Linked DNA regions of Danio rerio. The protein of the gene in region 2 purifies or fractionates together with the protein of the main gene of each other region. This does not show direct contact. Links are inferred from orthologs where the notes say so. Each region holds a gene or a part of one and is shown on either strand. Other genes may lie near its edges.

The links.
Region 1: the proteins of golph3a (region 2) and fam20b purify together in Homo sapiens (affinity purification with mass spectrometry; 3 studies listed by BioGRID and IntAct, with this or other methods). This does not show direct contact. The link is inferred for Danio rerio from reciprocal best matches to the Homo sapiens genes GOLPH3 and FAM20B.

Annotation. Positions count from the first base shown.
Region 1 is NC_133195.1:17,133,903-17,150,211, reverse strand, and holds the start of fam20b (glycosaminoglycan xylosylkinase), read left to right. Parts: upstream 1-8,608; 5' UTR 8,609-8,762; intron 8,763-16,309. UniProt on the Homo sapiens protein: Responsible for the 2-O-phosphorylation of xylose in the glycosaminoglycan-protein linkage region of proteoglycans thereby regulating the amount of mature GAG chains.
Region 2 is NC_133180.1:42,012,422-42,028,847, reverse strand, and holds the start of golph3a (Golgi phosphoprotein 3), read left to right. Parts: upstream 1-5,583; 5' UTR 5,584-5,788; coding exon 5,789-6,004; intron 6,005-15,095; coding exon 15,096-15,227; intron 15,228-16,426. UniProt on the Homo sapiens protein: Phosphatidylinositol-4-phosphate-binding protein that links Golgi membranes to the cytoskeleton and may participate in the tensile force required for vesicle budding from the Golgi.

The DNA.
Region 1 (16,309 bases), on a different chromosome or scaffold from region 2:
AAGTATGCACCCTTTAGGGCTTGATATCAAATATAAAGACTTTAAAAGAAAGCAGACAATGAGCAAATGAGTTTAATAATGTTACACTGACTATATATACACAAATAAATATATTTCAGATTTAATAAAGAAATTTATTTTAAATTTTTTTTCAACAATGTAAAATTTAACATTTCATCTCAATCTCAAAAAAAGCTTCTAAATCATCACATTTACACACATCTTTTCAGTTTCAGGTTTCCTCTCAATTTTGTGTGGTGTGGCGGCATTATTTAGCCGACTCTGATTTGACAAAGAAAGCTGATCCTGATTGGTCCTCATTCGTGCATTAAAAATACGTATTAGCTCACAGAGTTCAGACTGCATGATTTTCAAAGTAATCGTGTCACAGATGTTTTCACACTGCATGACTATCTGGGCTAGCGTTTCGTCGCTGCTTTGTTTACACTGCAAGATTGATCTGTGTCAAGGACTTTCACATTGCATGACTTTACTATAGGAAGAATCGCCGACAAGTTCGTCCAAACTACGTCTCACAGCCAAAAACACGTAGTATGTATTTTGTTATTAACTACATAATGAGAAAGAAGCCTTTAATGGGGTAGAAAATGTCCATATTTGCTCACCTAGGTTTAAAGGGAATTAGCCACTTCTCCTTAACGTTGATAATAAACTAATTTCTTTCTGTATGAAACGTCAAACAGACACGGTTGCTCCTGAGTCCTGTCAAACCTGCACTAGTTTTTCCTCCATTTCGTGGATCCAAATAAACCGAAAAAGAGCGCTTTTAACTTCTCCCGCTGGCCTGCAGCAGGTAAACACACACGCACACACAAGTGAATGCCGCTCTCTCATTGGCTGTAGGCGATTGCCAATGTTATTTTCAGTCAAAACTCAATTCACAAGGTATGATTTGAATCGCCGACAGCTCCAGATATTTAGCATGCCAACTATCTCGCAGGCATCGGCGACTCATCGGCGATTCTCTCAGATCGCGTCTATGATCGTTCATACTGTGTGATTGTCACTCACATGCACGAGCAGCGATTTGCCTGTGATTTCAGGCATTTGTTGGCGATTTCTCAAAACCTGTCGGCGAGCCAAAATCGGGGCTAAAATCACGCCGTCTGAACTAGGCATTATAGAGCAAAGCTAGAGTTCGACTTTGTTGATAAAACCTTTTTTTTGTTTTTTAAATAAAAATTCTTAAAATGTTAAAAACTTATTTAAAAAAGCATTTTATAATGTAAATAAGTTGTCATTTAATAAGAATATGTGAATAACTCAATTTTGACAAAAATGTCAGATAGAACTTTATAATTCTAAGGTGGCGATATAGCTTCATATTTAACATATATAATCAGTGCTTTACATATCAGTTATCTCATAGTGTTGCTCCTGTGCAGGGGTCCTCATCTTACACACAGTCATACCAAAGTATTTTTAGTTTACAGGCTGGCATGTTTGCTGCACACATGCTAAGGTAATAAAATACTCTAAAACACACGTTTAGAAAATAAAATCTTCACTGCACCTCATGTTTTTGACGGAGCGTTCTGTGCATCTGCAGTTGGGAAAAAGTCAACTCTGTGTGGAATGCGCTCCAGCAGAGTCAAGTCTAGGATACAGCTGCGGATATGCAAATCAATATAGCATCATGTTTTATGACACTGTATAACAATAATACATAATTTACAGTAGTGTGTCAGTTTGGTTTAGGACTGATTTAAACTTCTGCCTCAAGCGCAAGCGTATGGTCCGGCGCATAGCCCTTGCCCTGGCTGCCGTCGACGCTCGCATGCGCCTCTCAAAAAATTTAACTACATGTCACAAGAGTGCAAGCTCTGTGATTGGTCAGTTTGGGTACCGGTGATGAGCGTGGGCAGTGCTTAACCACAAGCCAGATGGAGTACAGTAAGTGTTTACAAATGTCATGTCCCATGGAGGAGCTCCAATTGGAAACTTTTATTTTGTGTTCACCTTATGACTAATGTTGTTTCACATCCACCGCTTCCCGCCTCTGAATGAGCAAGTTTAAGCTACTTTTTAGCTACATTAAGGTAGCATTCAGAAGAAACAAACATGAAAAAACTCGACACAGAGGAACATAAAAACCTACTGCCAGCTAGTGTTATTGCAGAGCAACACAAACAGCAGAGGTATAAATGCGTGACTACGTACAATGCATGCGCCATGGGTCACGCCGATCAGTCGATGCAGAAGTATAAATCAGCCCTTAGAGTTAGGGTAGGGGTAGACGTTAAAAATACAATTTATTGGGTAATGTAATAAATAAGATAAATAATACTCTGTACAACTGTTGGTTTTATGTTACTGTGACGGTTGGGTTTAGGGTTGGGGTGAGGATAGCATTAATAAAATACAATTAATGGGAAATTTATTAAAGTAAATCATTTTCATCAACTCACAGCCACAAGCGTGTCTGATCTAGCAACAATCCTCTAGCAACAAGATAAATTAGTTGCCTAGCAACATAAAAAGTGCAGCACACTTCTCTTTTCTAAAGTAAAAAATCTAAAAAGAGCATAATTGGTATGAACAACCATTTAATGTGGACTTAAAGGCTTTCTGCAAAAATTGTGCTACTTTAAATACTCACCCTCATGTCATTCCAAACCCGTGAGACCTTCATTCATCTTCATAACACAAATTAAGAGATTTTAGATGAAATCTGAGAGCTCTCCCATCATCCATAGACAGAAATGGACAAATATCATTAAAGATATTCATTCATTTTCTTTTCGGCTTATTCCCTTTAGTAATCTGGGCTCGCCACAGCGGAATCGCCAACTTATTCAGCATATGTCCTTCCAGCTGCAACTAATCACTGAGAAACACCTATTTAAACACATACACTATGGACAATTTAGCTTTCTCCGATTCACCTGTAACGCATATCTTTGGACTTGTAGGGGAAACCTGAGGACCCGAAGGAAACTCACGGGAACACGGGGAGAACATGCAAACTCCACACAGAAATGCAAACTGACCCAACCAAGGCTTGAACCAGTGACCTTCTTGCTGTGAGGCGATTGTGTTACTCACTGCTCCACAGTGACGACCCAAATTAAAGATATTGTAAAAAAATAAATAAATAATAAAAAAAAACTTTCAGTTCTCATTCATTGGTTCGACTGTAATCATATGAAACTCCAAGAAAACTTTTGTGTGCCAAAAATGTATAAAAAAACGACTTCTTCATCTATGTCATCAATATATCTGTACTATGCATCATGTGTGTTGCACTGCTGACTCTAAATGACCTGATAAGTGAGAGTATATACTGTAGGTGCTGATATTTAAAGGTTTTTTGGTGCACAAAAGTGTTTTTGTGCTTCATGTGATTACAGTTGAACCACTGAAGTCACAAGTAGTGTTTTGACAGTATTTATCCATGATGTGAATCTCAAGGTTCTGTATTAATTGAGATCTGGTGACTGTGGAACCATTTGAGTACAGTGAACTCATTGTCATGTTAAAGAAACCAGTCTGAGATGATTGGCGCTTTAAGACATGGTGTGTTATGCTGCTGGAAGTAGCCATCAGAAGATTGGTACACTGTGGGCATAAAGGGATGGACATGGTCAGCAACAATACTCAGGTAGGGTGTGGAATTGACACGATGCTTAGCTGGTTCTAATGGGCCCAAAGTGTCCCAAGAAAATATCCCCCACACCATTACACCACCACCACCAGCCTGAACCATTGATACAAGGCAAGATGGATCCATGCTTTCATGTTGTTGATGCTAAATTCTGACTCTACCATCCGTATGTGGCAGCAGAAAGAAATCAAAAATCATCAGACCAGGGGACATTATTCCAATCTTCTACTGTCCTATTTTGGTGAGCCTGTGTGAATTGTAGCCTCAGTTTCCTGTTCTTAGCTGGCAGAAGTGGCAGCCGGTGTGGTCTTCCGCTGCTGTAGCCCATCCGCCTCAAGGTTGCATGTGTTGTGTGTTCAAAGATGCTCTTCTGCATACCTTGGTTGTAACGAGTGTTTTTTTTTTTTGTGTTGCTGTTGTCTTGCTATCAGCTCAAACTAGTCTGGCACCCTTTGTCCCATTCTCCTCTGACCTCTGGCATCAACAAGGCATTAGCACCCTCACTGAGCGTACACACCGAAAGCGGTGAGAGCGTCCAAGGTCGCTCTGGCCGCCCTGGCAACAACACCGTCTGCCTTCAGCTCCGGCAGCGAGAGCATCAAAAATGGATACATTGATCTCGTATTTAAAGGGGCCGGTAAAGCTACGCATCGATGAATTTGCTCTTCAGTGTTTGGACTCTCAGTAATGACTTTAAACCACACTGAACTGAACTAAACTTAACTGAACTTAAACACTAAAAACTGAACTACCCTGATCCAGTTACTATGACCATTTATGATAAGCTGCTTTGACGCAATCTACATTGTAAAAGCGCTATACAAATAAAGCTGAATTGAATTGAATGTGGTGCGGCTTTGCTCCACTTAATTATTCAATGTGTCCATATGTCTGAAATATCCTGAAGCAGCAATACTGTTTTGTACTGTCGCATGAGATTCCCGCTTTTTTGAAGATATATATATATATATATATTTATGTTAAATATATATATATATATATATATATATATATATATATATATATATATATATATATATATATATATATATATATATATATATATATATATATATATATATATATATATATATTTAACATTAATGCACATCAGTAACTCGCCAGTAATTTTTTTAATGCATGTTCCTGGAAGAAAACTTTGTAAATAATTGAAAATCTGGCGACCGCAATAATCAAACCCTTGGGGACAACTGTAGTCAGAACCAAAGTTCACAGGTCTGTGCTCTCTGAACTCCTCTCAAGCGGTGGACTTCTTCATTCTGATTGCTTGCCGCCGAACTGCGTCATAGCTCATTTCCAAAAAGTTAACTTGATTTCAACTCTCCTCGACACTCACACCGGCGGAGACGCGCCATGCTTCTCCTCACCGCTTATCGCCGCCGGCTCTCACTGAAAATTAATGATTTCCGGCTACTTTGACGCTCTCGCCGCTTTCGGTGTGAACGTATGGACAGAACTGCCTCTCACTGAATATTTCCTTTTTTCTGATCATTCCTTGTAAATCCCAGAGATGGTTGTGCGTGAAAATCTCAGTTGATCAGCAGTTTCTGAAATACTCAAACCAGCCCGTTTGACACCAACAACCGTGTCATGTTCAAAGTCATTTAATTCACCTTTCTTCCCCATTCTGATCGTAGGTTTGAACTGGAGCAGATTGTCTTGACCATGTTTACGTGCCCAAATGCATTGATTTGCTGCTATGTGATTGGCTGATTAGGAATTTGCATTAGCAAGCAGTCGGACAGGTATACCTATCAAACAAAAAGAAGTGGCCGGTGATTGTATGTCATATATGGGAAAGTAAGCAACTCAAACATATTCAGCCACAATCTCTGACACCAACATTGAGTTCACATGACGGAAGTGTGTGTACCATATTACTGCAATCTATTGTTGCAAACTGTATACTGTTTCACATTGGAAGTAAAATGAGCTGTAATGTCTGTGTACTTACACCAGTTTCATCTCAGAATAGTCTGCAAGGGATTCTGTGAGGATCTTCTTCTGGATGTGCTGCTCTACTTCGTGTGATCGTGGAGTTATTTTTAGCTGCACATACAGTCAGTGACTGTGCAGCTCAAGCAGTGTTCATAAAGAACCGAGGGTTGTTTGTTTGTGTGTGTAAAGCCACCATTTTACACTGAAAGAGCCTCGCTTAGGTTTTGCTGTGCAGTGAACTCTACAAATTGTTTGTGGAGCATGAAAGAACTTCACAATCCTCCAGGCTGTTCATTTAATACTGTGACAGAGTACAGCTCGCAACAAGCACAACACTGAGCCTTTCAGGGTTTTGGGGAGACGATTTGACTTCTCCTGATGTAGCTCACTGATTTTATTTTCAGTGCGCGCATAAAAAGGAAGTGTAGGCTTGTGTTAATTTGAGCCTGACAGAGCCATTCGGTTTTGCAGCGTTTCAGACAATCAGAAGAGGAAGGAAGCGGCAGAGAAATGAATGGTTTTAAAGAGCTTTACTCATGAGAGGGAGTAATTGATGATTGCTAGTAATGATTTCTTTTGTTTTTAGAGAAAAAAAATAGAATTAAAGGAACAATTCACTCAAAATGAAAACTCTTGTGTTCCAAGCAGGTTTGGACTCTTGTTTTGGACCACCATGATCGTGTGTATTGGTTCATTTAATGTCAACTGTGCCCTTTAATAGTCAGTCAGTCATATTCAAGTCCACTTAATATAAAGTCTGTTGACTGTTGTTTAGCCACAGATGTTAATGGAGATCTTCAGTCGTTTTATGCGATGCTTCCCCCTGCTGTTCGCCAATGTGAAGATACAATCAAGAAGCAAACATCTCTATCCATGTGTCTATCAGTTGTTTATCCACCTATTTGTCTGTCTACCTGTTTGTTTTATTATTAATTATCTGTTTATTTGCCTGTCTGTCTGTTTATCTGTCTGTCTATTTCTTCAATCATCTTATTGTCTGTCAGTCTAATGGTCCGTTTTGTCTTTATTTTAGTCTGTTTTTCTATATGCCATTTAACTGTCTGTCTATCATCTAACTGTCTGTATCTCTGTCTGTTAATCTAGCCTATATGTCCATTTAACTGTGTGTCTGTCTATCTGTCTGTCTATCTATTATCTACCTGTCTGTACTTCTGTCTATCTAGCCTATATGTTCATTTAACTGTCTGTCTTTCTGTTGTCTTCCTATATTTTTGTCAGTTTGTCCAGCCTATATGTTCGTTGTCTGTCTGTCAGTTCATCTGCCTGTCTGTCAGACTGTCTATAATGTACCAGTCTGTATCTCTGTCTGTTTGCCTAGCCTATGTGTCGATTTAACTGTCTGTCTGTCTGTCTGTCCTCTACCTGTCTGAATTTCTGTCTGTCTTGCCTATATGATCATTCAACTGTCTGTCTGTCTGTCTACATTTTTGTCTGTTTGTTTAGACTATATGCCTGCTTAGCTGTTTGTCAGTCTAAAATCTACCCTTCTGTATCTCTGTTTTTCTGACGTATATGTCCATTTAACTGTCTGTCTGTCTGTCTGTCTATCATCCACGTCTGTATCTCTGTCTGTTAAAATAGCCTATATGTCCGTTATCTGTCTGTCTGTCTATAATCTACCTGTCTGCATTTCTGCCTATTTGTCTATGTCTATTTAACTGCCTGTCTATCGTCTACCTGTCTGTATCTCTGTCTTTTTAGCTAGCTTTTATGACCATTTAACTGTCTGTCTGTCCATCTATCATTGTCCGTCTGCATTTCTGTCTGTTTGTCTTTATGGCCATTTAACTGTCTGTCTGTTATCTACTCCTCTGCTGTCTGGATGTCTATGTTTTTGTCTGTTTGTCTAGACTATATGCCTGCTTAGCTATCTGTCTCTTTATAATCTACCTGTTTGTATCTCTGTCTGTTTGTCTAACCTATATGTCCATTTAACTGTCTATCATCTACCTATCTGTATTTCTGTCTGTTTGTCTAGCCCAGGGGTGGGCAAACTCGGTACTGGAGGGCCGGTGTCCTGCACAGTTTAGCTCTAACTCTGATCAAACACACCTGCAAATAGATTTCTAGTGATCTTGAAGACACTGATTGGCTTGTTCAGGTGTGTTTGATTAGAGATGGAGCTAAACTATGCAGGACACCGGCCCTCCAGGACCGAGTTTGCCCACCCCTGGTGTAGCCTATATGTTTGTTTAACTGTCTGTCTGTCTCTCGTCGACCTGTTTGTATCTTTGTCTGTTTGTCTATTTAACTATCTGTCTGTCTATCATCTATCTGTTTGTGTTTCTGTTAGTCTGTCCTATTTGTCTGTTTAACTGTCTGTCTGTCCGTCTATCATCTACCTGTCTGTATTTCTGTTGGACTAGCCACTATGTCCGTTTAACTGACTGTCTGTCTATCATCTACCTGTCTGTATCTCAGTCAGTTTAACTGTCTGTCTGTCTGTCTGTCTACCGTATACTTGTCTGTATCTCTGTTTGTCTAGCCTATATGTCCATTTAACCGTCTGTCTGTTTGTCTATCATCTTCCCATCTGTGTTTGTCAGTCTAGCCTTTATGTCCATTTAACTGTCTGTCTATCATCCACCCTTATCTATCTATCTATCTATCTATCTATCTATCTATCTATCTATCTATCTATCTATCTATCTATCTATCTGTCTGTCTGTCTGTCTGTCTGTCTGTCTGTCTGTCTGTCTGTCTGTCTGTCTGTCTGTCTGTCTGTCTGTCTGTCTGTCTGTCTGTCTGACTGTCTGTCTGTCTATCTATCTATCTATCTATCTATCTATCTATCTATCTATCTATCTATCTATCTATCTATCTATCTATCTATCTATCTATCTATCTATCTATCTAAATTATGTCATAAATACCATGACATGAACTGAGCACTTTAACGCGTGCTAGTGTGTGTGTGTGTGTGTGTGTGTGTCTCTCTCTCTCCCTCTCTGTGTGTGTTCGCGTTCGCGCAGTCAGGAAGAGTCTCGCCGAGAGAATCAGACTCACCAACACAGCCAGCAGCATCAGATTCAGCAGTACCAGTAATGAATGGAGGCTGACCGACAGGCGGGTGGATATTAATGATAAACGCATGTTCGGGGCCACTGCCTGACGCTCGGGGGTTTTACACCTCACATGTGTCGTCAGTAGCGCAAGGGTGAGTCGATGCTTTTTAAATGTCACGGTTTCACTGTTAGCCTGTTAGCCGTGCGGGTCTCCTCTGACTAAAAACTAGGACCTGAACTCGCCAACAGCAGCTGCGGACAGTCATACAGAGAAGTGCACCTCCGGTGAACTCATATCCGTGTGCTCGGATCATAGTCGTGGTTATTTCATCGCTGTTATATGAAGAAACCGAGAGAATCGTAAGCTAGCAGGCTAACCTCTGTTAGCTTATAAAATACACAGAATGTCGCGGTAGCTAAGGGGGAGCGAACATTTATGTTCATTTCATGATGTTACACAAACTCTTTTTAAATCAGCTGGTTATTTTTATTTGCGTAAATGTAGTAAAAGTCAATGTTAGGTGTGTTTACGCGCATGACAGCAGCGGCTCGGTCAGTCGAGCTGCTCCTTTACTGACCCTCATCAGTAAAAGCTGTTTAGTTGCTCGTTAAACGTTATAACTTACGTGAACAACCGCTTTACGTATTACTGTAGGTGTGATGGTGAAGGTGTGTTTTTGTGAGTGTGTGCCGTATGAATGGCTGGTTGTGTGTCATTAGTGCCTGCGTGGACAGGATATGCTGCAGGTCCACCCAGTCAGGCTCTGCATGAATGTGCACTTGCTCACCTGGATGTTCAGCCTCTCTCTCTGTGTGCGAGTGTGGGTGTGTGCGTCTTTAAAACTGATCACTTTTACAAATATCTGGACTGGTGTATGAATATAGGTCTCTTCTTATAAAACAGACCTTGCGTTCGACTGTTTTTCCTTGTCGGACATTCATGCCAGAGTATTCCCAGTATTTGCTGGATGGGTGTTACCAAGAAGACCACTGTCCTCATTAACGTACATTGCCAACTTTTGCCAGACAAATACGACAAAAACTAAAAAGCTAATATCATTATTACTGTTTTTATTTACTATATAAAGCTTTACTGTAAACAAATACCACACAATTCCTAAATGTTGTCCCAACAAACATTAGGTTAACTCAATTATCTTTACAAAGTTGAGTGGAGTGAACATAAACAATTACAATGTTACCCTCAAGAATTGTGTTGTTTCAGTTTATTTTACAAAGTAGTTTAAACAAGCATCAAAAATATTTTTTTGAGTCCTTTTAGGGGACTATCTCTACCTGTATGAGCTGTCTGTCATTCTCCAACTTGCCTTTTCACACATTCCTCATCAAACTGTATATAGATGAGTCTCTGTGTTATAGAGTTTTCTCAGTCTTCAGTGTCACGGTTGTTAACTGCTCTGCCAGCAGGTATTAGTTTCTTCACCTTTGAACTGCTTCAAGAAATATTTTATGATGCATCTTTTTAAAGCTCCTTGTAATATTTCCGGATTTTACATTGTTTATTTTTGTGTTCATTGTTGTAAATTATTATGCTTGCAGTGCTTTTTGCATTCAAAAAACACATGATAAAATTCATTATTGTTAATGATAGTAATCATAATCATTATCATAATATATCCAATGGTCCATTGGTGAGTCCAAGAAACAGGAATTGAAATCTATCTATCTATCTATCTATCTATCTATCTATCTATCTATCTATCTATCTATCTATCTATCTATCTATCTATCTATCTATCTATCTATCTATCTATCTATCTATCTATCTATCTATCTATCCTGTCCCTCCGTCCGTCCGTCCGTCCATCTGTCCGCCTGCCTATCCATCCGCCTTTCTATCTGTCCATCTATCTGTTATTTACATCCCTAATAATAAACATTACATGTATTTTATCAATAATTTAACATGCTACATTTTAAAACTGGAACATTTGAAAAGCTAAAAAATAAAGAAGCCATTTTACAATAACAAAATATCATTAAATTGCAACAAGCAGGAGTTCATGCATTATGCATTAATGTCCAATTACATGTGAGCAGAATATCAGACTGTAGAATAAGACAAGCTCTAAAGGGGAAGCTGTTACTACGGTGCATCCAGAAAGTATTCATAACACTTCACTTTTTCCACATTTTTAATGTTACAGCCTTATTCCTAAATGGATTCAATTCATTTATTTCCTCAAAATTCTACACACAAAACCCCATAATGACAATGTGAAAAAAAGAGTTTTTGAAATGGTTGCATTGTCTGATTATTAAAAATGGCCTGTAAAGGTGCCTTAGAAAAGTCTAATTTGACTCAAACATGTTATTTTGTTCTTACACTTGTTTGTTTACATCTGTTATTTATTATTATTTATCTGTTTTAGGATTTTTTTCATGTTCCAATTTCAAAGGTCTAAACTCTAAAAAAAAAAAAAAGTTCTTTGAAACAGTGTACCTGAATTATCACACTATTAGGTTGTACAAATGTTATTATTATTATTATTATTATTAGTGATATAAGTTTCAAAGTGGCAATAATATTGTTTATCACAATTAAATTTGGTGCAGTTTATCGCCCTGCAAAAATAGCTATCATGACAGCTCCACAACAAACAGTAATTTTGGTAAATTCATGTCTCTATATAAACGTGGTTGTCACTAGTGAAGTTTTAAACTTTAGCTGTGTTCAACTGACATTTTTATTAGGGAACATTAATTGATTGATTATTTGATTGATACATGGGTTGGAAGAGAGAAAATGTTGGTCTGCGGTCACTTCTCGAGCCGTCAGAAACACTCAGCCAGCAGCATTTACCAGTTGTGTGTAGTTTAAAAGGTCATGAAACCCCTCTTTACACTCAACCCATCCACAAATTCACATCTAGCAAATATGACATCATTGCGGTGTTGACGGAAGTTTGCATTGAGTGTTGCTGACCTCGTTTTTGTGTGCCAGTGTGCACATCGTTTTTTTATTAATATTATTTTTACTTTATATGCAGCTCATATTCTGAGGATGGGCAACTTTCAGGCGAGTCTGTACAGACTGGATGAATATGCATTGTGTGCTGACGTCTTTAAAAATCTAAGTACTTTAGGGAACAATATTGTGTATTGTCTGAGGTTTTCCAAGACTTTCTAAGTACTTTGTTCTATTTATTTGTTTTTAATATGGACCCACAAGAGGGTAATGGCTTGTTTAACAGTTTATCAGGTTCCTAATTGATTGAATGTTTTTCATATCTTGATTTATTATTTTATATTGTCCGTTTATGAAGTTGTACTTGCTATATATAATTATTATATTATATTAGCATCAAATTACAAAAAAAAAATAATTACCACTTATGTGAGATGTTTTTTTTAATGCACCATCTATGAGCGGGACAGTAAATTTTCTCTCTTCTGTCTACCGTTATCAGTCTCCATTAATTGTTTTTGTCCTTTTTTGAAAGCCGTAAAAACACTTTTGTGGAGTTTTATTTTATTATTTGAGCGAATAGGCACTCTCTTATTTACTGTGCTCCAAATTTACACAACTATGACAACTTTTGCTGCTGAGAAACCCAGAGATGTGAAAAGGTTCTATTAAATTTACCATGTGGTTAATGCATGAGGCGCCCTCTAGCATCCAGTATGAATGAGAACGTGTGTTTCACAGTACTGTTTTTCTCTGTGGAAAAATAGAAATTATTTTCATTGGTAAATGAATAAATGTAAATGATATCTTTATCGCGATAAACCCCAAAAAGTATTGTGAAATTGTTTAAAAAGTGTCGTGAAGCGCTTTGAAATGTGCATTTCTATTTGACGTTTGACGTAATCTCAACTAAATCATAAAGTGCGAGTGAGGCATAGAGTAGCTCCTCCCTTTTAAAAAAAACACCCAATCACAGCTCTGCCACTGCGAGTGGTTGAGCTCAAGCACATCAAATCAACTGCAAACTTCAAGTGTCTTGAAGGGGGCGGTGCATGTCAGATAATAGAGAGCATTTGATTGGTCAAGATTTGATGAGAAACTGAAATATAAGGTAACGTGAAAAAATAAATCCTAGATCCATTTTGGCGGAAGTGACAGACGGCAAGTTTCGGATGTTTATACCATGCTAATATCTTTTACTCACAAATAATTTTATTGTCTTACTCCACACTAGATAATAGATATCCTTAAAACTAACATTTTGAAACCAGTGCTTCCCACAGGTTTCAAATATACTTGCGGTGGTAACCAGATGGAAACACACCATTTACCAACATCACATAAATAGTTATACTAGTTATTATCTATATGCGATAAACAAAACATAATGTAATTTTTAACAATAATTTGATTTATATGGTGGCGCAGTGGGTAGCACGTTCGCCTCACAGCAAGAAGGTCGCTGGTTTGAACCTCGGCTGGGTCAGTTGGCATTTCTGTCTTGAGTTTGCATGTTCTGTCCATGTTCACATGGGTTTCCTCTTACTCCTCCGGTTTTCCCCCACACAGTGAAAAGACGTGGTACAGGTGAATTAGGTATGCTAAAATTGTGAGTGGTGTATGTGTGTGAATGAGGGTGTGTGGATGTTTTCCAGTGATGGGTTGTGGCTGGAAGGGCATTCGCTGTGTTAAAAACATATGCTGGATAAGTTAGTGGTTCATTCCGCTGTGGCAATCCCAGATTAATTAAGGGACTAAGCCGAAAAGAAAATGAATAAATGAATTAATAAATTAATTTTATTTATTATGACATAGTCTTTAATAACAACGAAATGCAAAAATGCATAAAAGCTTTAAAAAGCGATGGCAAAAGTTGAATCTTAGACATTTTAGGAGATTTCGAAATTCGGGCCAGACAAAAAAAGTGCGCCTCTGTGGGTCTGCAAAGCTGTGGAAGTTTGTGTGTGAGTGCTGACAGGCTTTCTCCCACAGAACGAAACGGGTAAACGAGAGAAGATTTTACACTACTTAATTGATCGCAGATTGGTTATACTAGGCGTATACAATTTTAAAAGTGTAAAAGGATGTTAATAATAGTAAAAATAAATAAACGTGACATACTTCGGTGACCCATCCAAGTAAAGTCTATGTGTGGCAAGTAGGCATGGGACGATAACCGTTTTCAAGGTGTACCGCAATTTGGAAAAGTTTTAATAAAGCTACGTGTATGATTTTTTAAAACTTTTTGTGTTTGTTTTTAAAGACAACAGTATCTCCAGCAAAAAAAAAAAAAAAAAATGTACAGCCGCTTGCAATGAATTTTACTGCAAATATAAAAAATATGAATTTAATGTTGCTTCTTTTTAAAATAACTTTAATGATTTTTTTTTTTTGGTGGTGGTTATAAAAGCCTGTTATATCAAAGAGCTGTCAAGACACAAAATGAATAAATGTGATGGACTGAATGGTGTATGTGTCAGAGAATATATAGATGAGATTTTATGCCACACAAAACCTAAAAGCAAAAACAAGCTGCTTCTCGTAGGAAATTAACATACAGTGATGTAGTCTTTAGGAACTGAAGACAAAAATAGCACAAAAAAGCTAAAAATATTCTACAGCTAGAAGTAATTATATTGTCTTGTGTGTGGTAAAATAAACATGTTTAAATATCAAATGCAGTTTAGTCTTTCATGACTTTTAATGACAAGGGGATATACATTTTATACACACTCCAAAAATATTTTAGCTGCTTGTTCAAACTACTAATTAAAATGAGCTGAATCAACAATTGTCGAGGGATTTTTGCGGACAATTTAAAAGCCCTATGAAATTAATTTCTGTTAGTATCAGTATTGTTAGTTTTTAAGATATCCATATGCTAGCTAGTGTGCTCCAAAACTGTGACAAAATTTGCATTTAGAAGATATAAACTTGATATAACCAGTTTGTCACTTCCACCAAAATGGAGCAATGATTTTTTTTTTCCACTTTACCTCACGCTACAGTTTCTCATCACATCATAACCAATCAAATGCTCTCTAGTATCTGACAAGCCCCGCCGCCTTCAAGACGCTTCTCACGATTTGCTTTTCATTTGATGCGATTGAGCTCAATCGCTCTCACTGGCAGAGCAGTGATAAAAACAAAATGACATTGGCTATTTTTTTAAAAGGGTAAGGAGCTACACTATGTCCCTTTTTCTGTGTTTTGGTTGAGATTACGTCAAACATCAAATAGGATTTCATTTCAAAGCAGCTCACGGCACTTTTTATTATTTATATTCAATCTACTTTTGTACAAACAATTAAAGTTAACTTAATCCATTTGTGTTGGGACAACATAAAAGGAATTATGGGGAACCCAGCATTTTTGACTGTTTTACAGTTAAAGTCAGAATTATTAGCCCCCCTTTAATTTTTTTTTCTTTTTTAAATATTTCCCTAATGATATTTAACCGAGGAAAGACATTTTCACAGTATGTTTTATAATATATTTTCTTCCAAGGAAAGTCTTATTTGTTTTATTTTGGCTAAAATAAAATCACTTTTAAATTTTTTAAATCAAAATGATAAGCCCCTTTAAGCTATTTGTTTATTCTCTACAGAACAAACCATCATTTTACAATAACTTGCTTAATTACCCTAACCTGCCTAGTGACCTTAATTAACCTAGTTAAACCTTTAAATGTCACTTTAAGCTGTATAGAAGTGTCTTGAAAAATATCTAGTCAAATGTTATTTACTGTCATCATGGCAAAGGGCTAATAATTCTGACTTCAACTGTAAATAATAGCTAAAAATATGAAAATAAGTAAATAAATAAGACAAATAAAGAGCGAAGTAAGCAAGAGTGTGTGAAAGTTTATTTATTTCACTTAAGCAGCATCACAGTATTGGTTAGAGAAATTATTACTCCAAATCTGGAGCTCCTGGAAATCTCTACAGCTATAATGAAACTCAATGAGAGATAAACTTGACCTTGATGGCTTGTTAAAATTAGGAGTATTTGCAACAAAAGATTCAGTGCGTTACAGAACACTCATATTTTCAAGGCATAAAATCGCATACGTATTATCAGTTAATGTAATTTCCCAGAAACTCTCAAACTGATTCTAATAGGTTGTTATTATTAAGTCTTGCATGTGGATTTGTTGTTTTTCTGTTTTGCTTTTCATCGTTGCTCTTCACAAAGGCTACAGAGAGAATCAATGCAGATCGATGTACTGTTGCATTAGAAAGAAACGTTGCAATGGGATTTTGTTATATAACCAAAACAATGTATTTTGTGGGTTTCTGCCAAACTGTTGTTTTTGTACAGTTTTCACGAGTGGGCTGGTTCCACATATAGCATTTAAGTGCACAGACCACTGTAGTAAGTGTGTGTATGTGTGTGTAGTAGAAGTGTTTGCAATGTTAGCTTCTCAAACACAGATAAGCCTCAGGCTGAGATCAGCGAGAGCTGAGAGAGAGTTGAGTTTGTGTTTGTCATGGCTCTGAACTACAGGCTGTTTGCCCACAGAGTCTTTAAAAAAAAAAAATTTAGTGGAATGGAAGTGAAGGTTTTGATGTTTGGCACTTTCAAGTGTGTACGTTTGTGCCGGAATGTAATTATAGTCTCTTTTTGTTGTTAGAAGGGTGAGTGTTTGTATAATCCATTGTTGAAAGTAAACTGTAATGGATTTATTCATTCATTCATTTCCTTTTCGGCTTAGTCCCTTTATTAATCCGGGGTCGCCACAGCGGAATGAACCGCCAACTTATCCAGCAT
Region 2 (16,426 bases):
GTAGGCTGAGATTTGTTATTAAACTGATTAAACTTTACAGGGATACTTCATCCAAAATTTAAATTTTGTCATCATTTATTGCCTCTCCACTAGTTCCAAGGCTGTTAGAGTTTCTTTTTTCTGTTGAACATAAAAGAAGATATTTTGATAAATGTTGGAGACCAGTAGTCAATAACTTCCTTTCTAACCAATGTGTTTCGTGGTTACTGGTTTTCAGCATTTTTCAAAATATCCTCTTCTGTGCCCAACAGAAAAAGCTCCTTAAAGTATGAAACCATTTTAGGGTGTTTAAATGGGCAATGGGGCAACACAATGGTTTAGTAGTTAGCACTGTCTCCTCACAGCAAGAAGGTCGCTGGTTCGAGTCCAGGCTGGGTCAGTTGGCATTTCTGTGTGGAGTTAGCATGCTCTCCTCGTGGCTTGCGGTACAGGTCAATTAAATAAACAAAAATTTTGCTCTAGTGTATGTGTGTGTGGGTGTTTCTCAGTGATGGGTTGCAGCTAGAAGGGTATCCGCTGTGTAAAACATATGCTGGATAAGTTGGTGTTTAATTTCGCTGTGGTGACCCCTGATAAATAAAGAGACTGAGCTGAAGGAGATTGAATAAATGAATGCATAAATGGGTAAAACAGTTTGGGTGAGCTGTACTGTAAAGTTAGTTTACTACACAGTTTTTGGATGTTGAGTACTGCTAGATGTCTCTTTAGATGTACTGTGGCTAAAAAGAAAACAGTCAGCCATCTGTAAAGCAGTCATTAGTCTACATGTACAGTCGTACGCCTCTCTGTAACTGCCTGTACTTGATTGTCTTGGCAGGCCGAGTCACCGATTGCACAAAGCAGGCCATTGAGCTGCCCTACAGTGTGGGACTGGTCGGTGCAGTTTGACAGCAAGGCCCAGAATTTCTTCTTTAACCCTCTGTATTCAGAGAAGGTGAAACATGAGAGAACTGTTCGTAGACCTCACAAACACAAGGTAAGAACATGAAATCCTAACATTAACCATCTCTTACATTTTACACTGTTTAATAATGTAGATGCAGATATGAACAAATGAACTCCTTAAGGACTGTGTTTACATCATATAATATATGACTGTAATTATATTTTAAGTGATATACCGGTAAGTGCAAATGTTTTATAGCAAAACTATTCACAGACCCAGATTTTTAAACTTTAAAATCAACACAATAGCAAGAAACTGAATGAAGTTTAATACAATTTAAAACTAAAAACTTTAAAGCTGAGGGTCCTTTTGTTATAACTAAAATATACACTACCAGTCAAAAGTTTGGGGTCAGTTTTTTTTTCTCCATGTTTTTAAGAATATTATTCTGTTTATCAAGGCTGCATTTACTAAATGTAAAAAAAATGTTAAATATTCAAAAAACTTCAAATAACTGCTTTGTTATTGTATGTAGGTTCAAATGAAATTATCACTCTAGTCATTATTGCTTTTGTTTCTATTACCATTAATAATAATAATAACATTAATAATTAATATCAGAGTGCTTTCTGAAGGATCGTGTGACTTTGAAGACTGGATAAATGAAGCTAAAAAAATCTTTAAAATCACTGGAATAAATTTTTAAATTAAATGATGAACTACTTTTGAACAGTTATTTTTTACTGTAATAATATTTCACAATTTTACTAATTTCTACTGTATTTTTGATTGAATAAATGCAGCCTTGGTGAGCAGGAGAAGCTTATTTTAAAACTAATCAGACTGACCCCAACTTTGTACATTACAGTTTAGTTTAGATAGTAGCCAAGTATTTCTGTATTTAAATTAAATATAATTTTATGTTAAAAAATAAACCACAAAAACGAACTAATCTAAATGACAAACGCACAATAAAATTGATAAATGAACTAGAATTATAACGAAAAAAGTGGAAGCTAACTATAATGGATTCTTAATGATACTAAAAAAACACTGCTGCGAAAAACATTTAATATAGTCGGTTTATCAGTCTCTGTGAAGCACTGCAGGATGTATTAGCATTTATGCACATCATTACTTTAATAAACCACAAAACACATTGTTCAGTAATCAGTTGCACTTGAATAAATGTCACAATAAGGAAGGACAAAAACTTCTATTTCATTCTGACATAAAAACACACAAAGATCTCATTTCACTTTAACCTTTTGGTTCAAAATGAAAACAAATACATTTTTAGTATGTCAGATAAATCTCTAAAATGTGTGTGTAAAGGTCAGGTGTAATAAAATCATAGCTATGCACTGCTAGAGTTTTTCAGTGTTTTGGTGACATCTACAGTCAAGAAGGAAATTACAAGTGACATCTTACACCATTTTGTTTCCTTTTGCTTTTAATTTGTTTGAATTGTACTGTGCTTTTCTTTTTGAATAATTCACAGTGTGTTTTTGCATGCATATTTAATTGATTTTGATTTCAAATCTATAGCACCAAAGGCAGTTATCCTTGCCCAGCTCAGCTTTCAAAACCCCAACCAAGAAAGGCTTCTTCAAAGACGAGACCGACAGCCTTAAGAAGATGCTCCGAGTGAAGCGTATCAGTCGCTGGATGGGCTCTCCAGACTCTCCCGTCGTCGCCAGCAAAGAGTTTTACGAGTCCTGGCAGCAGCGTCCCCTGGACTATCACGGGCTCCTGCTGCCCTCTCTGGATGGACCGTCTGTCCGCGTCTGGATGCAGCGCTACCTACGCTGGATCCCTGAAGTGCACATCATGGGTGGAGGCTCGGTGGCCATCATGACCAAGCTGATGGAGCTGCTGAGTCAAGTGGAGGATCTGAAGCGTGTGCTGGAGCAGAGAGACCCATCGCTGGCCACTCAACCCGATCACCCTCCACCTCTTCACCATCGGCTGCCCTCATTCGGTTCCTCAGGAAGACTCTCATCCTCGTTCCCCTTCACTTACAGCCGCAACCGTTCCTTCAAACCCATCATTCCCACAGGTCTAATGCAAAGCCTCATGGTGGCCGATAATCTGGCCAATCAGGAGGACGAGACCAGTTAGGCTGAGAGTTTGGTTTAATAGGAAATCTGTTTCCATCCATTAATGGTTATATTATTTAATAAGTATATTATAAGGTAGATACAGGATTAAAGTGGCCTTGAAGGTGTATAAAGTGCCTTTGGTGCTAAAGCGGGTCTTTTTTTGAAGTAAAACAGGGTTTTGTTCAACTAAATGTGCCCTACTGTATTGAAAACATAACATGAAAATTTAGACAGGATGTAGACTTTTTTTTTTGTGGAAGTTTTTTTAAGAACAGTACCTAGTATTTTCCTCTTGCTCATCACAAAACAGGAACAGGATACAGGCTTGAACTTCCAGGCTTTCCATTGTGTAAAGTGTTACTTAAAAGGGATATCGGAATAGCTGTTGTCAATTTGTTCTCCCTCAGATCATTCAAGATGCACCCTTTTTCTAAATAAGAACATTTTTACCTGGTAATAATGTGGTCATTGGTGACTACTAAAGTGTAAGTCTACAGCTTCCTGGACTTTGAAATGTTAAAAAAACATATACGGGAAAATCTAAATTTATCCTACTGATTACTGATGATTTGTTAAGCACAGGGAACTTGTACTCCAGAGGCACTCAGGTTGGTTTTTCAAGGATATGGAAAAAATGTTCAGTTTGTTTTTCATTCAGTTATGCTTCACATGGAGCCACAGATATTAAATGTTTTGCCTCTATATGTCTTTTTTCACCCTCAAAGTGTTGTTAGCTGTTGACATGCATTTTAAAAATCAGCAAGTACCATAGGTTGAGTAAAAATCTTCATTGTTCTACTGAAGGAAAAAAAAATCACCTTTGCATTTTGGATGGCATGAGGGTCATTATATCAACAGCAAGTTTTCATTTTTGGATTAATAAACCTTTAAAATCGATACCAAGTAACATTCCATACAGTATTCCATCACAGTGATCAGAATGAGCTTATTTTGAATAATAGAAAAGCTCAATCCAGCTTGTTTTCAGCTTTTTCTGGCAGGGAGAACTCTGAAATGTTGTCAACCTTCAGTTATATAAATGTTGAATGTGTGAAGGAGAACTTAGATTTTTTTAAGACCATTATATGAAAACAGGATGTATAGAACGACACACATCAGTTTCAGTGCTCTAATGTAAAACACACATTGTTTTGTGTGAATCGGATCTGTCCATCAGTAGGCTGTCTTTTATTTCATTCAGCCTTAGCTGCTATCATTTTTAGAACATTATGCGATCAGTTCACACTTTTAGAACAAAGGAGCACAAACAAATATTACTAACTTTATTACAATGAAATTGTAAGGACATGATATTGGTGATGCAAACCATTCTTTTTTTTTTTGTGATGATATAGATCAACCAAGCATCAGCATCACCATGGGTATTTTAGTCAGTGCTTACACAGATACAACAGTGGTGTTTGTGTGGAACTCTATATATGTATGGATCTAACAACAACAAATGTATGTGTATAAAACTAAATAAATTAGAAATAATTTTATACGGTAAGATTAAAAAAATCATCATAAACTGCTAATCCTTGTAACTATTGAAACATAAGCTATTGTCATACAGTATCTGCGTTTGTGCACATTTTCTTCTGTTTTTCTGCGGTGCCTACAGAACTACTGCCCCAAATTAACAGGCACTTCAGTCACATATTGTCTTCAGTGTCTGTTGTGCATCACTTTCTGTGTTTTTCTGCTGTTGTAATGTACTGAAACTGATGTAAGCTCCTGAAAGCACTGAACAGCTGGCAGAAGTGTGGAGAAAGCGGTTTCCTGACCATTTTTGTGTTTTTGTTTGCATTTTTCACTTTTGTTTTGCACTGCTGCTCTTTGCCAGTCAGTCACTGTTACTTGAACAGTCAGATGAGAGTCTGGTTCTGTTCACTTCAGTTCATCACTGCTCTTGTGTTTGACAAGGTGAACTTAATGAGAAACGTATCACTGTATCATTTTTTAAAATATTTTTCTATAACTAACTTTAAAGTTCACATTATCAGAGTTTGGCCTTGGATGTATATGAAATATTGCTTTATTTTGGAACATTGATTTTGAGATTATTATTTTCATGTAAAAGTAGCAAATACTTTTTATACGCACTTGAGAAATATGTACCTTTGACTTTATGTCCACAAAATATGATTGAAATAAAAAAAAAATAGATCAGTACTTTGCAATCGTGATCAGTGTTTTGTTGCTATGTTTATTTTATTGTTATTCTACTTGAATGTGCATATTAACAAAGCATTTTTGTTGTTTTAGTAGGATTTTGATTTGTGTGTTGGTGTAATTTTTTTCATTGTATATAGGACATTTAAATGATATAATTATATATATATTTAATTGTGTTTTTTTATTAGCCACAATTAATACGTTTGAATATTAATATTAACGTTTCTTATTTCACTTTAATTTAGTAAAATGCTTACAGTGTTAATTAACAAAATGGGCTAGTTAATTAAATTAAATAGATACTACCTAAATATTATGAAAAATGTAGTCTCGGTATGTAGTTCGGCAGGTTTTGGGACACAACCCGAGTACTGGGATGCCACATCCACTGCTGTTCCCGTCACGTCTGGACTGGTCGCCATATTAAACCTGACGGAATCGGCGACGGTCCGCGGTAGGGATCGCGAGGGGGCCCTTTCCAAAACAAATCCCGATATACACCTTCGTTTTCCCTTTTCGCCCTGGAAATCATTTATGCATCGGACTGAATAAGGCAGTGTGTTCTCAGACAGGGGTTGTCTGGGACGGAGGTTTTGTTTTAGTGTGTTTGAGAGAGAGAGAGATGAGTACTTTGACCCAGCGGAGCTCCGGCCTGGTGCAAAGACGCACCGAGGCTTCGCGCAGCGCTGCGGCCGCAGACAGAGAGCGCGGATCCGGTGACGAGGATTACGAGCCTCGTCGCGGAGAAGAGCCGGAGGACGATGACAGCGGCGACTCCAAAGAAACCAGACTCACCTTGATGGAGGAAGTGCTGCTGTTGGGCTTGAAAGACCGAGAGGTTATTGTGGTTTTGCTTTATTTTCTCAGTTGTTGTTTCTATAGTCGATGCTTAACGTTAGCATATTATCTCTCACCATCACCCACAGTTGTCGCTCATTTCGATGCTTATAAATTAGCTCTTTCAAAAATAGAAGAAGCTGAATTCTTAAATTTTGATGATTATTATATTTTGTTTATATATTGGTGACGTTTTGAGATAAAATCAAGCCACATGTTTTCGGTAATGCAATAGCATTTAGCTTGACTTGCACTGCAGCTCCAAGTTCTCTCTTTGACCCTCAAGACTCTCAAAACAAAACGTAGTTCAGTGAACAGAGTTTAAAAAACTGAACGATACCTTTAAATGTCTTAATATTACATATATTGTTTCATGTACCATATGGTAACCAGATTGGCATACACTGATATTGGCATATGAAAGTTACATAAAGCTAATTTTCGTCGCTGTCTACACAATGAGTTTGATGCCGTTTGTGTATTGCATTTTGGTAGATACAATGTTGTTCAAGACGCATGATGTAGGCCATTATCCTTACACCCACGTTCACATTCGTATGAAGCATGTAGATCCAGATACAGCCTGTATAGTCAAAACAATATTTGTTTAGGAACAAGTCCAGCGTAATCTTTATTACAGTGTGTCTTATTAAGGGTCAGATCATCCAGAACCAAGTGAAAATTAAAATGTACTATTTACTGACCCTCAAGCCACCCAAGATGTAGGTGACTTTGTTTCTTCAGTATATCCTAAAAGAACATTTTACTGAAAACCAGTGACATTGGGTATTTGTAAAATGCAAGTAAACAAAATTAATAGCAGAGGCTTCTGGTGACACATTGAGATTTTAAAAGATCACACAGAAATGAAAGTTATGTTAAAAACAAGTCCTTGTGCCATTCAATTTTGCCTGAGACATTTGTACATCTTCAGAACACAGATTAGGAGGTTCTCTCTGAGCCTTCTCAGACAGCAATGGTCAAAAGATGTTCAAAGTCCAGAAAAGAAAAGAAAACATTGTGAAAACATTGCGTGTGACTTTAGTGGTTTAACTGTAATCATACAAAGCTCTTGGCTAGCCAGTTAAGTTTGTTTATTTTGCACCAGTCTTGGGTTTTAAGTAATGTGCATGAAGCTTGACTTTAATCACTCATTGTTTGCCATGGTATTATGCAGAAGTTGAACTAAGCTGCCTTTATGGTACCTAAAAGCCTATATTGGTGCAAACAAAACTGAATTTAACCAGCTAGTAGCGCTGGACAATATATCGTTTGAGCATTGATATCACAATGTGTGTATCTGCAATAGTCACAGAGCAGGAATAGATTATTTATTAAGATATAAAGATATTTTCTTTTTTTAAAATAATTTATACAATGATGACAATGGTATTTTAAAATTGATTGTTCAATTTCTGGACCTGAATACTATTAAACTCCCCAGAAAACCGTAAAGCACTGCTTATTCCTTTTCTTTTTGCTTGTAATTTATCCAAATGAAAGCAGATGCACTGTATAAAAAATACTTGATCATTTAAATTTATCTAAATGAATGAAATATTTACAAATAGAGCTGTTCAAGTCATCTGGTGAGAGATTATATTCATATCTCAATATACATATCACAGAAACACTAAATATCGCAATGTCAGATTTTTTCAGTATTTGGCTCTACCGGCTAGCCAGCTAATCTGGCTTCATGGTACAGGCCCCTGGAACAACTTTGTTCACCAATCTCTTCTGTATCAGATAAGGGTGTGTTTTTACTATGGGCTATACAGCCAATGCGTGTTTTGCTGCTGAATTATGGCAATACATCATACTGTACATAGTAAACTTACCCTGACCTGATGTGAAAGAGAAGTTAAATAAATAAATAACAGTCAGATATATAGTTGTTTTTGTTGTGTTTTTCCTGACAAAAGTGTCATTGGAGCCAAGTTTGATTACAGTTAAAGGACAGGTGGAATGATTGACAATGTTTTTGGTTCCTTTTCTGGACTTGGAACATCTTCAGACCATAGCTGTCTGTGGAGGATGAGGAAGCTCTCAGATTTCATAACAAATATCTTAATTTGTTTTCAGAAGATGAGAAAAGGTGTTTATTTATTATTTGTAATCCGCAAATGATTCTGGCCATGTTCATGTCTGAAGTGTAAGTGTTCTGACACAGGCTGATGATGTATTTAGTGGACGCAAACTTCAGGAAAAGCTGAAGTACCATTTTAATGAACAATACAGAACACACAATCTTTGTCTGGTTGCTTCTGAGTTTGCAGCCAGCCAAACACATTCATTATCCAAAAGGAAACTTGAGCTAAAAACTGTGATAAAGGTTTTAGGACTCAAATTCTGGTAGTTTATTTGCATTTTATGAAACATGAAGATAAGATCAGTTTCAGATCGAATCACTTGCATTTTTTTTCTAAAGGAGTCCTGGAGGAGTTCGGCACTGCACAGTATTTTAAAAGTCTTATTCTCTTAAGTACACACTTTAAAACTTAAAACAATGAGCTGATAACATGCAATCAAGTTATTCAAATAATGAAGACGTCCAGAGTATGACGATAACCAGGACTAAGAACAAAGAAATTGCTTTAAGCTTCAACAAATCATTGGCTGCATTTAGTAGAACACAAAACTCCTGCTGTTGCAGCCATATATCTATATGTAATCGGATCTAATATTTAAATTAAATTATGTACAGCGATAAAATGTTTTTTTCCCATAAAATTATTGGTAAAAAAAATACAACCGAATTTGTATTAGTTATTAGCTTAATTTAAACAGTTTAAATGATTACAAATGGTAACTAACTTTTGGAGCCTTGTTGTACAGTGTTCTTAAACTAGAATGTAAAGTCCACACTAGAGGCTTAGTAGCTACTAGCTAGTTTGTAACAAAATTTGTACTCGGTTGCACCACATGTTCTTAAGGCAAAAAGTAGATGGTTGGTCATAAATACGAAGCATTTAAATCATTACACCACTTTAAAATTGTATATATATATATATATATATATATATATATATATATATATATATATATATATATATATATATTTATATGATGCATTTATAGGCTATAACTGTCATATGATAATTAAACGACCAGTTAAATTTACATATTACATAGTCGTGAATGGTTATACTTGCAAAATACACATGAAGTTATCATAATTTTTTTATATCCTACACATGAAAGCAAAACGAACAGGTAAAATAACTCCATCATAAAGAAATTTTCATTTTAATTGCTAAACACAATAAACACAAAACACTAAAAAACTCATTGAAATATAATTAAAGTCTTTCTCATAAACCAAAAACAAAATGCTAAATTTGGGAGGAAAATAAGGCTGTGGCTCTTCAATGTAAGCTGCCTTAAATATTTAGTAGTGCAACTGGCCCCAGCCGTACAAATAGTCACCGAATTATCACTCAATAATTCAGCATGCAGTAGGCTAAATTAACATGTGAAAATGTTCATGTTTGAACTATTAGGTTAACCAATTAAATGTACAAGCATCTAGCTGTTATGAATGTTTTACAAATACAATTAAAAATTCTTAAAAAGCACTCAAACACTTTTCATTATTTTGAGTTGTTTTTTTTCTCCCAAAGTGTCCACAAAATCATTCATTCATTTTCTTTTCAGCTTAGTCCCTTTATTAATCTGGGGTCTTAACTGGGGGCGGAATTAACCGCCTACTTATCCGGCATATGTTTTACGCAGCGAATGCCCTTCCAGCTGCAACCCATCACTGGGAAACATCCATACACACCCATTCACACACATACACTTACCCAATTCACCTATAGCTCATGTCTTTGGACTTGTGGGGGAAACCAGAGCACCCGGAGGAAACCCACAGAACACGGGGAGAACATGCAAACTCCACACAGAAATGCCAACTGACTCAGCCGAGGTTTGAACCAGTGACCTTCCTGCTGTGAGGTGAGCGTGCCACCCACTGCACCACCTTGCAGCCTCTTCACAAAATCATTATTGTGCAAATTCATTATCACAATATTTTGAATTATTAAATATTGCCATGTCTTTTCCACCATTGTGAGCTTCTTCCCTTTAAGTAGGATGTTTACTATGATTGTTCTTAATAAAGAGAGAAGTTTAAAATTAGCCAGTTTGGTGTTTTGGCTAACCCTTATTCAGAGCTATAATAGGTAGTGTATTGTACCTACCTCATTTTCTGGCCTTTTGGTTGAACAGGCAGGCATTAGACAAGGCACTGTTACTGAAGACGCATCTCTTTGCAGCCCATTCATGTTGAATTACTGCCTGTTGCTTTTGTTTTCTCAGCAACAGTGGCTTTTGGGTACAAAATGATGAGTATATTTCAGAAAATTGGTGTTTTTTTAAGCCAATGTCTTGGTTTTTTGCTGTCAATTTGCAGTCTAGCAGTGTCCTTGTCTTGTTTTATTTGCAAATAAGGTGTGAGCTTTAATGGGTGAAAGTACGCTTGCATGATTGGTATTAAGGACAGCTTTTTGATGAATTTTTAAAATCTATTTGAAACATAACTGCTTACACTTGGCATCTCAGACTGTCGAATTATTGCTTTTTTTTTTTACACAATAGTAGTTTGACGTGTAGATTGGTTCAGATTCTTTCACAGTTATGTTTAGGTGTTTCAAATTCATTCAGCAACTTAGATTGATTTCTGAAAGTTGCAAATGTTGTACAATTTGTTTAGTGTATCAAGTTTTAAGGGTCTTGATCATAGTGAACTCATCTCTATTTTTATTTGATGAATATTTGACCGTGACCTTACTCCATCAAGTACACATTTAATGAATAAAGTACAATAAAGGCCACTGTTTTGCATGTGGTTGGTCTTCTCCAAATAGTTGTCTTTAATTACAGTTGTCTCTGCTGGTGTCTGCTTATGTCAGCTTTTAGTGAGCTCTCCTATGTTGTTGTCAGAGCTTAAGTATCTGGTTCACTCTCATAACAGCACAGTGTAAACAAGAAAACCATAACTAAACATTTGAGCTTGAACACTGTTGTTTGATGGAGCAATATTGTCACATGCCTTCAGTGCAATTGTTCAATACTTTCATATTTTCATCATATCTTGTTTTGTCTAGGCAGGGAAATAAACAAAGAATCATAAATGGTGATCATAAAACGTCAGTACTACTACTGTAGTGAGATTATTTTGAAAAATACCTCTTGCACTTTGAGAGACTACAGTGATAAACAGAATCAGTGTAAGCTAAGTTTTTATTTTTGGTATAAAGGAATAGTCCTCCCAAAAAGAAAATTCTGCCATTATTTACTTGACCTTAACCAAACCAAAGTTTATTTATTTATTTAATTTTTTTTGTCTGTTAAACATGCATTTATTATTTTAAAGAATAATAAAAACTTGTAACTGATGACTTCCATCAGATTGGTTTATCTCTACTATGGGAGTCAGTGGGTTCGAGATGGGTCTGGGTGCAGACCTGGTGCAGTGCAATCTGAGCTGCATCCAATGCTTTTTAATCGGCTCACCTAACCCCACCCCTAACCCTACCCCTCACAGTGATGTCACTCGCTCAATTTGAGTGCATTGTGTCTGACATTGCATTGCTGAGTAATGCAATCTCAGCTTGCATCATCAAGGCTGCATCCAGATACTATTGATGGGTTCAGGTTCCAACTTTCTTTAAAATATCTTTTTCATTCATTCATTCATTCATTTTCTTTTCAGCTTAGTCCCTTTATTAATCTGGGGCCACGAAATGAACCAGCAACTTATCCAGCACATGTTTTTACGCATGATGCCACCCATTACCGGGAAACACCCATAAACTCTCGTTCACACACATACACAGAAATGTCAACTGACTCAGCCAAGGCTCGAACTAGCAACCTTCTTGCTGTGAGGCGACAGTGCTACCTACTGCGCCACTGCATTGCCCAATATCTTCTCGTGTGTTTAACAAAATAAAGAAACTCATAAAGGTTTGTAATCACTTGAGGGAGAGTAAATATTGAGTGAATTTTCATTTTGGGTGAACTATCTCTTTCATTTTTAATGGAAACCTTTTTTTCCCTGAAGTATATAATAAATGTTTTTTTCTAACCTCAAACTTTTTACCTTTCTTTGTCAGCTATAAACTGAATTGCCAAAGTTTACAAACTAACAATTACAATGAATAAAGGTGCAATTTAAGCAAAAAAACACTTAGCAATTCTTTAAATGTTAAGGAAAAGGTCATAAGAAGTCAAAAATTTGAGCAATATGATTACTTTTTTGTTTTTCTGTGGTAGAAACATACTTCCATAGGTGATGTAGACCTTTTAAAGGATAAAATATATTTTAAAGTAAATGTATAAATCACATTTTACTTTTTAAAATGAACACAGATCTTTCAAAACATCAGTTGATTATGCACAGTTGTTTTATGAAAAAGCAGCTTGGATATTTGACAGAATTTCCACTTGATTAATCTGTATATTTAATAGCATGTAAAGTGTATTTATATAGCACATTTATTGTGACCATACGCGGAAAGCACTTTACAATCATATGAGGGGGTCTCTATAATTATCAATTGTATAATAATGTTGTAATATTTAGTATTATTATCAATGAAAATTAATTTTGCGTTTTGAGTAGACTATACATGTTCAGTTAAAAGAAAAGTTTGTGGAAGTGTACCAAAGTTACATAGTTTCTCTTTTAAACTTTAAATAAAAATCTAAATTATTAATTATATTATCCACTATTATAAATAATGTAAAAGAAAATGAATTTGTTCGCATTTACATGAAGCTCTGCATTTCAATGAACATGACTTGTTAAAATGTTTGATTATTTAGCATTTCTGTTGTGTCTCCGTCAAGGGCACAGACCTCTAGTCCTATCCTCTTTCAATCAGATCTATTTGAAAACAGTGCAAAGTAAACAGTTCTTCAAAAACACTGGATGATATAACATTGTGCTTCTATCAATGGCTGTTTGCGCTTGTGCTCCACCTCAGAGTGTTGCCTGTGTTGCCAGTACCTTGAAAGAGGCCTGTTGTTTCTTAGCAGTGGCCACTGGGACGGAGGCTGGAACTGCACAAAGCAGACCTTGTTAACGCTGGAGAAATCCATCGCTCACTTCATACACTGCTTAGTACGACACAGCAGACTTACTATCCCATGCTGTTGGGCAAAATTTACTTTTTTAGTTCATGAATTCAAATTAGGCACTGACTGAAATTCAAATAGCAGATTACAACAAGCTAAACTGGAATGGCCAGAGAAGAAATTTAATGAATGTCATCATGTCTAACATCGTGTCCTAACTAAACGTAACCTGACAAGATTCTAGAGACAAGCAGTTTGACTGTTTGCACCAAAAACAACAGGACAGAAACATTTAAATACCAGCCTATTTGGTATATTATTAGGCATGGGCCGGTATAAGTTTCTGATAGTGTAATAACCTTGCATAAAAATATCACGGTTTCACTTTGTCATAGTATTACGGTTACTGCGGTTACTGTCTTGGTTAAAAAAAAAATATATATATATATATATTTATTTTAAGAAACATCTATAATGTTTTAGAGCAGTAAACATATCTGGCTAAATAATTCAACTTCTGACTTCTGCTCTCTTCATCACTTTTAAAAACACTTCATAACTCATAACTCTTATGATTTCTTCTTAACTCAAAGAAACACACAAGAACATTCACATAAACCAGAAAAACCTTGACTTGCTTGGTTTTAAAACCTTGAAACCAGTTATCGTCCCATGCCTAGATGTTATGGTAAGGTTTAGAATCGAATTAGTACATAATAAACCTCTAACATTATTAAAGGTAAAGGGACTGAGCCGAAAAGAAAATGAATGAATTAATTATTAAAGGCTGAGTGTCTGATATTGGTTAGTCACAGTTCTACCTTTAATTTTCAAATTAAAAGTTTGCCATTTTATTTTTAAGAGCTGAGGTGAACTATCTGCTGCTCCTCTAGGCTTACTTTATAGCAGGGTTGGGCAAAGTTGGTCCTGGCAGGCCGGTGTCCTGCATAGTTTAGCTCCAACTCTAATCAAACACACCTGCTTATAGATTTCTAGTAATCTTGCAGACACTGATTAGCTTTTTCAGGTGTGTTTGATTAGTGTTGGAGCTAAACTGTGCAGGACACTGGCCCTCCAGGACTTACTTTGCCCACCCCTGCTTATAGGCTGGTATGGTAATAAATGTCACACAAAATAATATCCAGACTTAGATTGGTTGCATTTAACATTGAATAAAGCACATAATCAGCACCTGAGGTGTGCATTGTCATATTAGTTTATGCTGTAATGCAATGCTGTTTTTTTATGCTGTTTTGACATAGCAGAAATAGAAACCATTTCTAAAATAGAAATTTATTGTGTCAGCATCATGGATGATTAGGACAAAAACTAATTTTAACAGGGAAAAGACGCCATTTAACGTGTGTCGTGGCATCATGCCACATGCACGCTGTAAAACAATATCTGTATATTAGCAGTTTTTCACATTTTGTCATTCGTTTTTTATTTTCGCCTGTGTATTTATGCTTTTGGATTGCATCATGGTGCCTTAATCTTTCATCCAACAGCTTCTAACATTGAAAAGTTAGAAAAGGACTTTTATTGACGATTTTATTAATTTAAAGTGATTTATTGTCTGGGCTGGTGTTCTAAATTATGCTACAAAAACCTTGTAAAAATCTGCCAGTACGTTTATTGTTATTTTACACACTTATTTCTCTCTATATTATCTCTTATACATGATAATGTTTCCAACTACTAAAATTTCAGTAAAAGTTGCTTTAAGCTTTAGAGTTATATTTTTAACGTCAAATGGCGACAGAGTGAAGATTAATGCCCATGATGCATTTGACATCCATAAATAAACAGAAAACACTGTTCATTAACTGATATTTTTTTACAGTGTATTTAGGACACGCTTTCTAAGAAATGCAGTTTCACACACAGTCACTAGATCCTCGTGTAACAATGTAACTGGAACAGTCTTCATTTCAGCTACACTGAAGCTCTAAAGTGCATAGCCCTCAACTGCATGTATACTTAATCCGTTGGTATTGTTTTTGTGTAAGGGTTACACCTCCTTCTGGAACGACTGCATTTCGTCTGGCCTGAGGGGCTGCATGCTCATTGAGCTGGCATTACGAGGGAGACTGCAGCTGGAGGCCTGTGGCATGAGGAGGAAAAGCCTGCTTGCCCGGAAGGTAAGACAGACTGTTCAGAGCCCTGGAAATGATCACACTATTGGGAGAGGTTTCCTGTTTTGCATCCCTCCCTTGATAGTGTTTATGTTCTACAAGCCATTCAAGGCATAGTTCACCCAAAAATCATGTTGTCATTTACTCTCCCTCATGTTAATAAAAACTTGTATGACTTGTAATTCCTTGCTTCCTCAAATAACTTATTTTACACCCTCTTTTCTCAAAATTAGCTACAATATTTGTGAAATATCTGTTTATAAACAGATTATTTGGTGATTTAGAGTAATAAAATGACATTTTATGCAATGTAATCAGTACTAGTCTTATATATTATTATGGAACTATAATTCCTTTGCATTTGTTTACCAGCTTTCTATGCAAGTAAAACTGAGCTGCTTTTTGTTTTGTGTTCTCATCATAAATTAGATAGGCCAATAAAAGTTTGATGTTTAGACTAGCCTAAAATAAAAATAACAAAATAATTAGAGCATGCTTTTTCTGTCATATTTTAGACTGGATTAATATTAAACAAATGTTTGAAATAAATACTATGTTGTTTGCGTTGTTTAATGGATTTCAACATGTTAATAGAAAGGATTCAACTTATAACAACAGATGTGCATTTATTAGAATTTTTACAATTGATAAAACGCACATAACCTAGTTCACACAGACTTTGGCTGAATGCACAAATATATTTTTTCTGATTTGCGTGTGATCGACACAACATATTTTTCAACATGTATTCTCTCACCACTAGAGAGAGTTTGCTCACTTGTGTGTGATTGGAGCAGAGATCCACTTTAAACAAAGATGAACAGAGATGTAAATGCGTAACCATGTAGAGACAGAAATGACACGTCATCATGTAAATTAGATTATTAAAAACAATTTCTTTAATATAAGAACAAACTATTTACATATTCTTTAGTAAAAGAACCACAAATGTCTTGTGTTGTGATCTGGAGCTATTACGAGACTAAAATAAATTAACTTTACTTTCAAGGGGAGTGGGGCAACTTCTAATACAATGGTAGGGAAAACACTGGTTTAGGAATATATATTTTAATATCGCACCATCACATTCCGGTGAACCTAGAAGTGTTTGTCTGTCTCTGTTTTCATGTTGGTGCAGGGAGAGGGCACGCAAACAGGGTTCATAGCCCTGATTCAACTGTGATAAATATATATTTTTTAGACAT